Linked DNA regions of Oryzias latipes. The protein of the gene in region 1 interacts with the protein of each later gene in a biochemical or structural test. Links are inferred from orthologs where the notes say so. Each region holds a gene or a part of one and is shown on either strand. Other genes may lie near its edges. The genes, in order: zbtb16 and proheparin-binding EGF-like growth factor.

Region 1 (4,326 bases):
CGTGAATTATTATTAATATTATAAATATGAAACTTTCCTGTGGAAGTTTGGGAGAATGTTCTTCATATTAATGAGCAGATCAAGAGGAAAAAGCCAAATGAGCTGCCAAATCTTGTAATTGGTCATAGAACTGGATAAATGAGGCCATCAATGGGCTCAGGCAGAATGTGGGTCAGTGGATGGATTTAACTCTTTCTACTCTGTGCCCTCTTTTTTTATTTCCATAAAATAAATGAAATAAATCTGTGTTTTGTTGGTCATCTTAGGTGCATGCTGGTGACCGGATCTTAATTTAACCAGGCTTTCATTATGGGTCAAACAGGTTTCAGGAATGAGGTGGAGCAACATGTTGCCCTGTTAGCTTGAATTATAAAATGTACCCACAGACACCCATTCATTCAGGATTTTCAACATTTGCAAGCACAGGCGCTCTCTGGGGCCGTGTTGTGGGTTTTTGCCTCATCTTGCTGTCTTTTTCGCCCATTTTTTGGCCACTGCTCTCCTGCTCCTGTCTGTGATGAGAATACTGAGTAAGATGCTATTTGAGGCTGCTGACGGTCTTTGTGAACCCAGACGCAGTGAGAGCCTACAATTCAGCCTTGTTTAACTGGTGTATATCCCCATCAGATAAGCAAATGAAGACATCTCTTTAACATAACATATGCTGGACCTATTGGTATGCAGGATGAGCCTGTTGGACAGCTAACAAATTGTCTCTCTTCAGAAAATCCAATCAGTGCCGTCTGCTAATATAAGAACGCCACTAAGTATTCTTCCCCATTCATGTGTTTGTAATTGAAGCCTGCAGAAGTCTGATATTAAACACTTTTTTAGAAGAAATGTTCCTCTTTAAAGACGCACTCTGATGAAAATTGTGTTTTTCTTGTCATATTTTTCTGATGATGGACATGTATAAAGAAAATTAAGCTCAAAATTGCATTTCTTAGTATTTATTTATCCAAATTGTTGTGAATCTGGAGCAGACAATAAATGCAGTTTGAAAAAGAGCTTACCGGTATTTGTTATATAGAAAATACGCCGAGCCACAAGCTCCCTGTTCCGCTCCACTCTGATGCATCCACTTGCAGATGCATCCACTAGATGTACGTCTAGCTCCGAGCTGGCACCGGGCTCAAAAGTGTACAGCCATGTAGCTCCTATGTTAATCAGTGTATTTGTTGCTCAGGTAATGGTAGGTTGGGGTTTTGAGGGGTAGTAAGCTAGCGGGAGAGCATGTTGTGACACAGATGAGTGACAGGAAGTGGGGGTTGGGTTGCTCCATGCCAAAATTTCTAATGAAGAGGTGAATTTCTAATAAAATACAGCCGCTTTGCAGAAACTGTCCTAGACAACAACATAAATCAAATCAAACCATTTTTTTATATAGCACTTTTTAAATATAACACAACACAAAGTGCTTCACACAATTTTTTTATACATATATAAAAACAAGCAGAATATTGAAATAAAGGACAATATACATTTTTGGAATTGTAAATAAAAAAATGTTTCCACCGTTGACATTTCTCTTTTTTTTTCCATCCAGGTTTGACTTTGTTTACAAAAACAGCTAAAATCTCTGCTGAGCGGGGAAAGCGAGCCTCATGAGTCGGCCTGGCAGGTTACATCAATATCATGGATTTAACTAAAATGGGTATGATCCAGCTCCAGAACCCCAACCATCCCACTGCCCTGCTGCAGAAGGCCAACCAGATGCGTTTGGCTGGGACTCTGTGCGATGTGGTCATCATGGTCGACAGCCAGGAGTTTCACGCTCACCGGACTGTGCTTGCCTGCACCAGCAAAATGTTTGAGATCCTCTTCCACCGCAGCAGCCAGCATTATACCCTGGACTTTCTTTCACCAAAGACTTTTCAGCAGATTTTGGAGTATGCTTACACTGCCACTCTTCAAGCCAAGGTGGAGGACTTGGATGACCTTCTGTATGCAGCCGAGATCCTGGAGATTGAATACTTGGAGGAGCAATGCCTCAAGATCCTGGAAACCATCCAGTCCTCAGATGAGAATGATGTGGATGTCAACGCTAATGATGGGAGCACAGAAGACGATGAGGAGCGCAAAGGCCAAAATGGAGCGAAGAACTCCAAAAAGCATTCCCTGGAGACTCCCAACCTGTCAGGAGCTCAGCAAGCCTCCAACATGCCTGGCATGGTTGACCAGAGTCCCTCTGTCTCCACCTCCTACAGTGTTTCCAACCTGAGTCCCACCAAAGCCGCTGTGGACAGTCTGATGAGCATCGGCCAGTCTCTGCTCCAGCAGGGCTTTGGTGGTGAGCAACCCGTCCACATTAATTCCCACCACCTGATGACCGACATCAAGACTGAGATGATGCAGGTGGACATGAGTGGCAATGGACATGACAGTCCTCAGAATATGGAGTCCAGCGTCTCGAGCAACGGAGAGCGAAGCGGAGAGGACAGGAACCGAGATGGTCCCGGAACGCCAACGAGGAGCAGCGTGATCACCAGCGCTCGAGAACTGCATTATATCCGTGATGACAACATGGGCGACCAGCAAGCCGAAGTCAGCCAGATGGGGCTGGAAGCAATGGCAGGAATGACTGAGAAACACCTGGCCTCACTATATTCGCTTCCTGTCAATCATAAATCCGATGCCATGATGTCCATGCCGGTGTCCATGGCTTCTGGTCTCCCCATGTCCCCTGCCCTGGCGATGTCCATGGACTTCAGTGCGTATGGGGGGCTGCTGCCGCAAAGCTTCATCCAGAGAGAGTTCTTCAGCAAGCTCGGGGAGCTGGCAGTGGGGATGAAACCGGACGGCAGGAACCAGCATGAACGTTGTAATGTTTGCGGCGCAGAGCTACCAGATAATGAAGCCGTGGAGCAGCACAGGTAAGCTTCCTTCCCTCTCCAGTCTGTCTCCTTTGTCTTTGAGTTTATCCCATTTCAAAACTCATATAGGTGCATCTTCTGCATTTTGATTTTAAAATTACACACTTTTACATAATTGACGATTTCAATGGTTTTATAAACATATTGTCACTTTTTAGGCTTAAACTATTTAAAATGGGTGAAGCGGTTTTCTTTTGTTCTACTTGATCGACTTTAACAACAATTGACCCAATCCTTTTATGTTTCTGTTTTATTGCACTTGCATGAGTTCCATTTACAGTCACATAAAGCCCAGTTTTGTGCAGTCGCCAGCTCAGAACCGGAGATTTACTCCTTTAGTAGCTGCCAAGCTTGCCCAGGTGACTGCTGAAGCAATGCTGTCTTAACATTGTCCAAGACCATTAGTCACACCTTCCAAGATGTGGGCGGCAGCTATCACACACACTTACCAATGTGGAGCTCCCTCATCCAGGACCCTGCTCCCCTCCCTTTTCCCATAACTGCACAAGGGGGGCCCTTATTAGCTTGATAATTGGAGTAGACGGTCAGCTCAGGAAATGAGTGCTGAACCCGAGACAAGGAGGTAGTTCTAGGACAGGAGAGTGGCAGCTGCGCAGCACTGTTTCAGTCGCTGCATATAAATAAAGCTTTAAGGCTGAGTAATTTTACAACACATTCAGAAAACCTCCTATTGATCACAGAGCAGCAGTAGTCTCCTACCTTTTTTTACTTTTTCAGACTACGGACCGCTTTATTGTCAGACAATATTTTCACGGACGTATAAGGCCAAAGTGGCCATCCGTTTATTTTATTTGTGTGGGTAAAGTTTATCTTTACCCTCTGTAAAATGTCTGCAGCTGCTTTAAACTTTGTTTGTAAACTAGATTTTATGAAGGAACCATCCACATGTGATTTAGATTTACCTTTAACCCATAACTGTCAAAGTGGAAGCTAAGAATGGAAGCTAACTTCAGCTTTGTCTGACTTTTAAGGTGCAATGAATTTAAAAAACAAAAAGGGAAAGCGGTCACAAAAACTGGTATTATCTAAATACCATAATTATATATTATATATTAATATAATTAATGTGAATACACCATTAAAACAACTTTATTTGCAGCATCCTCAGAAGATTAGACAGCCAGTTAATGAATATTCTGCATTATTATCATGGTCTGTGGGAACAACTGTCACAATGAATCCATATTTGGAGTAAAGACTCCTGGTTTTTGTTTGTTAAATGTAGATTTCTTTTATTTTGAAGTTGAAGGCTCTTCTTCTCGTTTCCTCACTGACTCTTTTCTGTGAGAAGAAACTTTTCAGAAACGTTTGTTTTTTGTCGAATTTGGATGGATTTTAAACACCTGATCGAGCGACTTGACATGCGTCAAGAATGAGTCGGATGTGGTGGAGAGAATCCAGTAGTTTTCCAAAATAAAACTTCCCTCAGAAT
Region 2 (4,479 bases), on another chromosome or scaffold:
TGTGTGTATTGTATTTTTAAATCCATAGGAACCCATGGTGATATCAACGTAACAAAAGAACATCAGAGATATGTTCTGTGGCTTACTTAGTCTGTGGTATATATTTCACATTGTTTTCATTTAAGGGAAACGCATTTGGGTTCTTATAAATCATTTTTAAAAAATCCCATTTCATTTATTTTTTCTTCTCATCTAGAAATAGAGCAATTTTGTTGGACCTGTACTTGCACTTGTCATAATGAAGGCTTATTATTCACTTTCATTCATTCATTCATTCATTCATTCATTCATTCATTCATTCATTCATTCATTCATTCATTCATTCATTCATTCATTCTTTCATTTAGTGGAGACCCTATAAAAAAACTTTTTGAGGCCTCAGGGATCATCACAGCCAACCAGGTGCCTCTATTAAGCCTCACCCTTTACATCATACTTCTGCTTGTGTCCATCCTCTTCCTCTTGTTTTTTCTAGGCTTCCTTCCTGACACTCAGCCTCCTTTTATCAATGTATTTTACTGTTGGTTGTAGGAAGGTGTCCAAATCCACTCAATACTGTGGGGAACAGCTGGCTATGCACTTGTGTAAACAGACATAAATAAACACACATTAAACCAGTGCACCACAGCTCTACACAGAGAATCTAATTACTCTTTGTTTTTGCTAACTCATCACTTTATATTCTGATATATAGACAGATATGGAAATTTTTTAATTAAGCTTTAAAACTAAATGTAGCAATGTTATAAAACCAATGTCAGTTTAAAGAGATGTGAAGAAAGTTTCTGCTCCTGTCATTTTTTGCAAGCTATTTTATTGTCATTCTTCATCCTTCATCATGACTAAACATAACTGGAGTAACAACTGTGAGATATAAGCCACAATGCCTACTCTGTTTTCTCTCAAGTGAGAAAGAAAAGCACATGCTCTCCGGGTATAATCCAATATACAGTTTTAAATCTTATGACATTCCTGAAAATACACCCCTAGGGATGAGTAGATTCACCCTAAGCTGCCATTCTAAATTTCCTGCACTTCAAATTGTGCAACAAACCTGCTTTGAAGGTGTAATACCTAGTTTAACCAAACAGTGGCGCACATAGATTTTGCATGATTGTTACTAGTTACATGATCATTTTTTTCTAATCAACGTATTTAGTTTCATAGGCGCAGGATTATTTATTTAGATCTAAATAACCAAACATTTGAAAGTATTGCTCAGGTTGTTTGATCGTCTGTTATTCCTGATCTTGCACTCTCATTGGACCTTATTTGGAACTTTGAGACCAAGTTTAATAGATTTTCTGCAGAAATAAGTAAAATCAACCTTTTGTGAATGTAAATATCAGAAGATAATGTTTACCAGGTTGCAGTGTATACTTAGAACTACATAATAACAATGTCAGTAACTAAGATTTCACAGGTTTGAGCCACAAAGGATAAATCCATGCCACTCCTGTCAACTAAGAACAGGAAACCGAGATTATTCACCACGCACTTAGACGGTTAGATCAAAATTTAGTGTAAACAATAAAATGATCCCTCCTCATGATGCCATAATGGACCGCCCTGCTCCTGGATACGCCTACGCCTGCGAGCACATTTATACGCACGGCGTCTGGCACCGGAGTGACCACACAGGCTGTCAATGCAGTCCCGCTCCAACCTCCTCATCCGCGCTGAAGACTCGGGAATAGCCGAAAAACGAACAAAAAAATATCGTAAAAAAAATAAAATAAAACATTAATCAAAAGTTGAGCAGCAGAAGGATTATTCAAAACCTGGACGGAATACTTTTTTGTACTTTTTTATTTGTTTTTCCTAAAACCTTTCCTAACATGAGGACTTTACGCACGGTGCTCCTGCTAGTTTACGCGTTGGGTAAGTGTCATGTAAAAAAGTTGTGTTTGTTGCGCTGCATCATTGTCTGTTTTTATTCGCATGGCTTCCATCCTCTCTTCTTAATATTTGCGTTATAATCCAGCCATAAAAACCTTCAACTTTCTATGAAGTTTTCCCAAACTGCGCGAGTCCTGACTCCTAACAGGGTCGTCTCTGCTCTCTCTATTTTAAACCAGGCTTTATGTAACTAGATACATTTATTTTTAACTCATATTCTTGCCGTGACATTAGGAGAGGCTGTCATGTATTTTGCGCCTGTGTATAAGGCAGTATTTACTAACCACATTCTGACTCACAGGATCTGAGTCCAATTTTAAATTATTAACTAAATATCCCCTTTATCTGAGCATGCGCATTACAAAATAGTCATCTAGTGCAATCAGCAGAAGCCCCAGTATGCCACCTGCTGTATCCTGTGGAGGACATGTTTCAACTTGTCCACAGGGATCCACCCACCTCTTGATGCAATCCAGAGAAATCTTTTTTTTTTCCAGTCTGATCATCTCATTCTGGTGTTTTAACTGTAAACCCCTCTTTTTCCAGCTGTTTGCAAGGTTACCAGCGGTGCAGCTGTTGACCGGCGTGAGAACGACAGGCAGCAGGACACAACTGTCATAAACCTGGACACAACCAGGGACAGGAGGGAGGAGGTGGAGAACTGGGTCCTGAGTGCCACAACAGCAGGAAACCAGGAAGAGGAATATGACGATGAAGCCTACTTTGATTATCTGGAAGAAGATGACGATTCTGGAGACTATGAAATGGACTTGCCAAGAGGTAAGCCTTTATTTGTCATCTCTATATTTTAATGTTAAGAAAAAACAGTTTTGCATTTGTCTTGTCTAATCCACGATTGTTTTCCTCATCTTTGTTCTGATCTTCAGTTGCAATGTCAAGCAAACCCAAGGATCCGTCTTCCATCCTGGAAGCTGAAAGAACCGAGCGCAAGACATGGAAAGGAAAGGGAAAGAAGAAGGGCAAAGGTTTGGGAAGGAAGAGGAATCCCTGCCTGAAGAAATACAAGGATTTCTGCATTCACGGCACCTGCCAGTACCTGAGGGACCTCCGCGCCCCTTCCTGTGTGTAAGTATTGATACTGCGGATTCCCAGACACCAAAACATTGAAGGCTTTTTTTCTTAACGAACTCCTTATCTACTTTGCAGATGTCACCCAAGTTATTCTGGGGAAAGATGTCAGTTTATCACGCTGCCTGTTAAGGTGCCCACGGGGTACAACAGGACTACAGCGTTAGCCGTGGTGGCGGTAGTTCTGTCCTCCCTCTGCCTTTTAATCATCGGTCTTTTATTAATGCTCAGGTGAGTTACAGCAAATCTGTCCCATTTCAAACAAGCAAATGAAAAAACCAACATAAAGTCTGACATTTTCTATTCTTTTCTTGTTGCTATTTTCAGGTTTCACAAGCGGGGCGCGTATGATATAGAGAGTGAGGAGAAGGTCAAATTGGGGTTGACGCCTAATCACTGAAGAGAAAGGTCAGTAGTTGGAAGATTTCCCTAAAAGTTTTAAATCTAGAACTACTTTGTGAAGCAGAAATAAGAGATTTAGCTCAAAATCTCTTTTCTTTTTTTCATTTCAGGCAAAAGTGAAGAACTCTACCTCAAAAAAGAAATGAACTGCAACAGGAGGTCCCCCGGAGGAAACAGGAAAGTCTGTAACAAAAGGGGCAGAAGACGTCTGCCGGACGCTCTGCAAGACAGATGGAAGAGATGGGCGGCTGCAAGTATTCCCAATGGGCTCAGAAGAAGACCGGCCTGTCCGGAACTGGAATACAAGAAAGGCCCTGGAGAAGGACTACAGGTGTTTCAGCATGAAGAATAAAAAAAAAAAAAAAAAAAAAAAAAGAGGAATCCCGGTTAGACTATCTGCTGCCTCCTGGCTGTGTGAACAGAGGAGAAACAAACCTTTTTAAATGGAACTGAAGTTTTTAACAGCCGGATTGACTGAACATTTTTTAATTCAGACATTTGTTTTGGAGCAAGGTCCGTTTTTTTTCTGTGTGTACATTAAAAAATTATATTTATATTTTTAATTTATTTATTTAAGCTAACTGTATTTATGGTGAATTTTTTTTAACCACCTTTAGCTGTTTTTCAATTGTTACTGTTACGTTTCATTTTATATTGGACGATATTTATTTAGGAGAAAAAGGAGAAATGCCACCTTGAACTACTCTGTAGTCTAATTTATGCAATCTGTAAATTTGTCAAAAAGCCTGTTATCAGAAAGCGCTGGGATGAAAAACAATATTTAAATTATAAGAAATTGGTTTTTCAAGAAGTTGTCATTCTAATCTGTAAAAAATTGGGAAAAATGCCAGAAAGCCAACCAGATAGACTCGGTTGTGCTTGGCAACCAGTACAATCACTAGTTTTGTGTTCAAGTTAAAATTTGGGTTGTACACGAGAGAGGGCTGAGCCCTGCTACATCGCTTTCACTCCTTCTTCCTGAAGGCTCTATGTGCTCAAAGGCGCTAAACTGATCATCATACTATCCTGCAACGAAGAGCTTGGTGCTGATAGTAGGAAATGCAAAGACTCAAACTCATCTCTGTTTCT

Evidence for each region.
Region 2: the proteins of zbtb16 (region 1) and proheparin-binding EGF-like growth factor form a complex in vitro, tested with the Homo sapiens proteins (2 studies listed by BioGRID). The link is inferred for Oryzias latipes from reciprocal best matches to the Homo sapiens genes ZBTB16 and HBEGF.

Annotation. Positions count from the first base shown.
Region 1 is NC_019872.2:25,466,428-25,470,753, reverse strand, and holds the start of zbtb16 (zinc finger and BTB domain-containing protein 16), read left to right. Parts: upstream 1-1,228; 5' UTR 1,229-1,635; coding exon 1,636-2,873; intron 2,874-4,326. UniProt on the Homo sapiens protein: Acts as a transcriptional repressor. Transcriptional repression may be mediated through recruitment of histone deacetylases to target promoters. May play a role in myeloid maturation and in the development and/or maintenance of other differentiated tissues.
Region 2 is NC_019868.2:19,603,288-19,607,766, forward strand, and holds the start of proheparin-binding EGF-like growth factor, read left to right. Parts: upstream 1-1,612; 5' UTR 1,613-1,838; coding exon 1,839-1,881; intron 1,882-2,445; coding exon 2,446-2,679; intron 2,680-2,786; coding exon 2,787-2,985; intron 2,986-3,066; coding exon 3,067-3,219; intron 3,220-3,315; coding exon 3,316-3,388; 3' UTR 3,389-3,396; intron 3,397-3,500; 3' UTR 3,501-4,479. UniProt on the Homo sapiens protein: Growth factor that mediates its effects via EGFR, ERBB2 and ERBB4. Required for normal cardiac valve formation and normal heart function. Promotes smooth muscle cell proliferation. May be involved in macrophage-mediated cellular proliferation.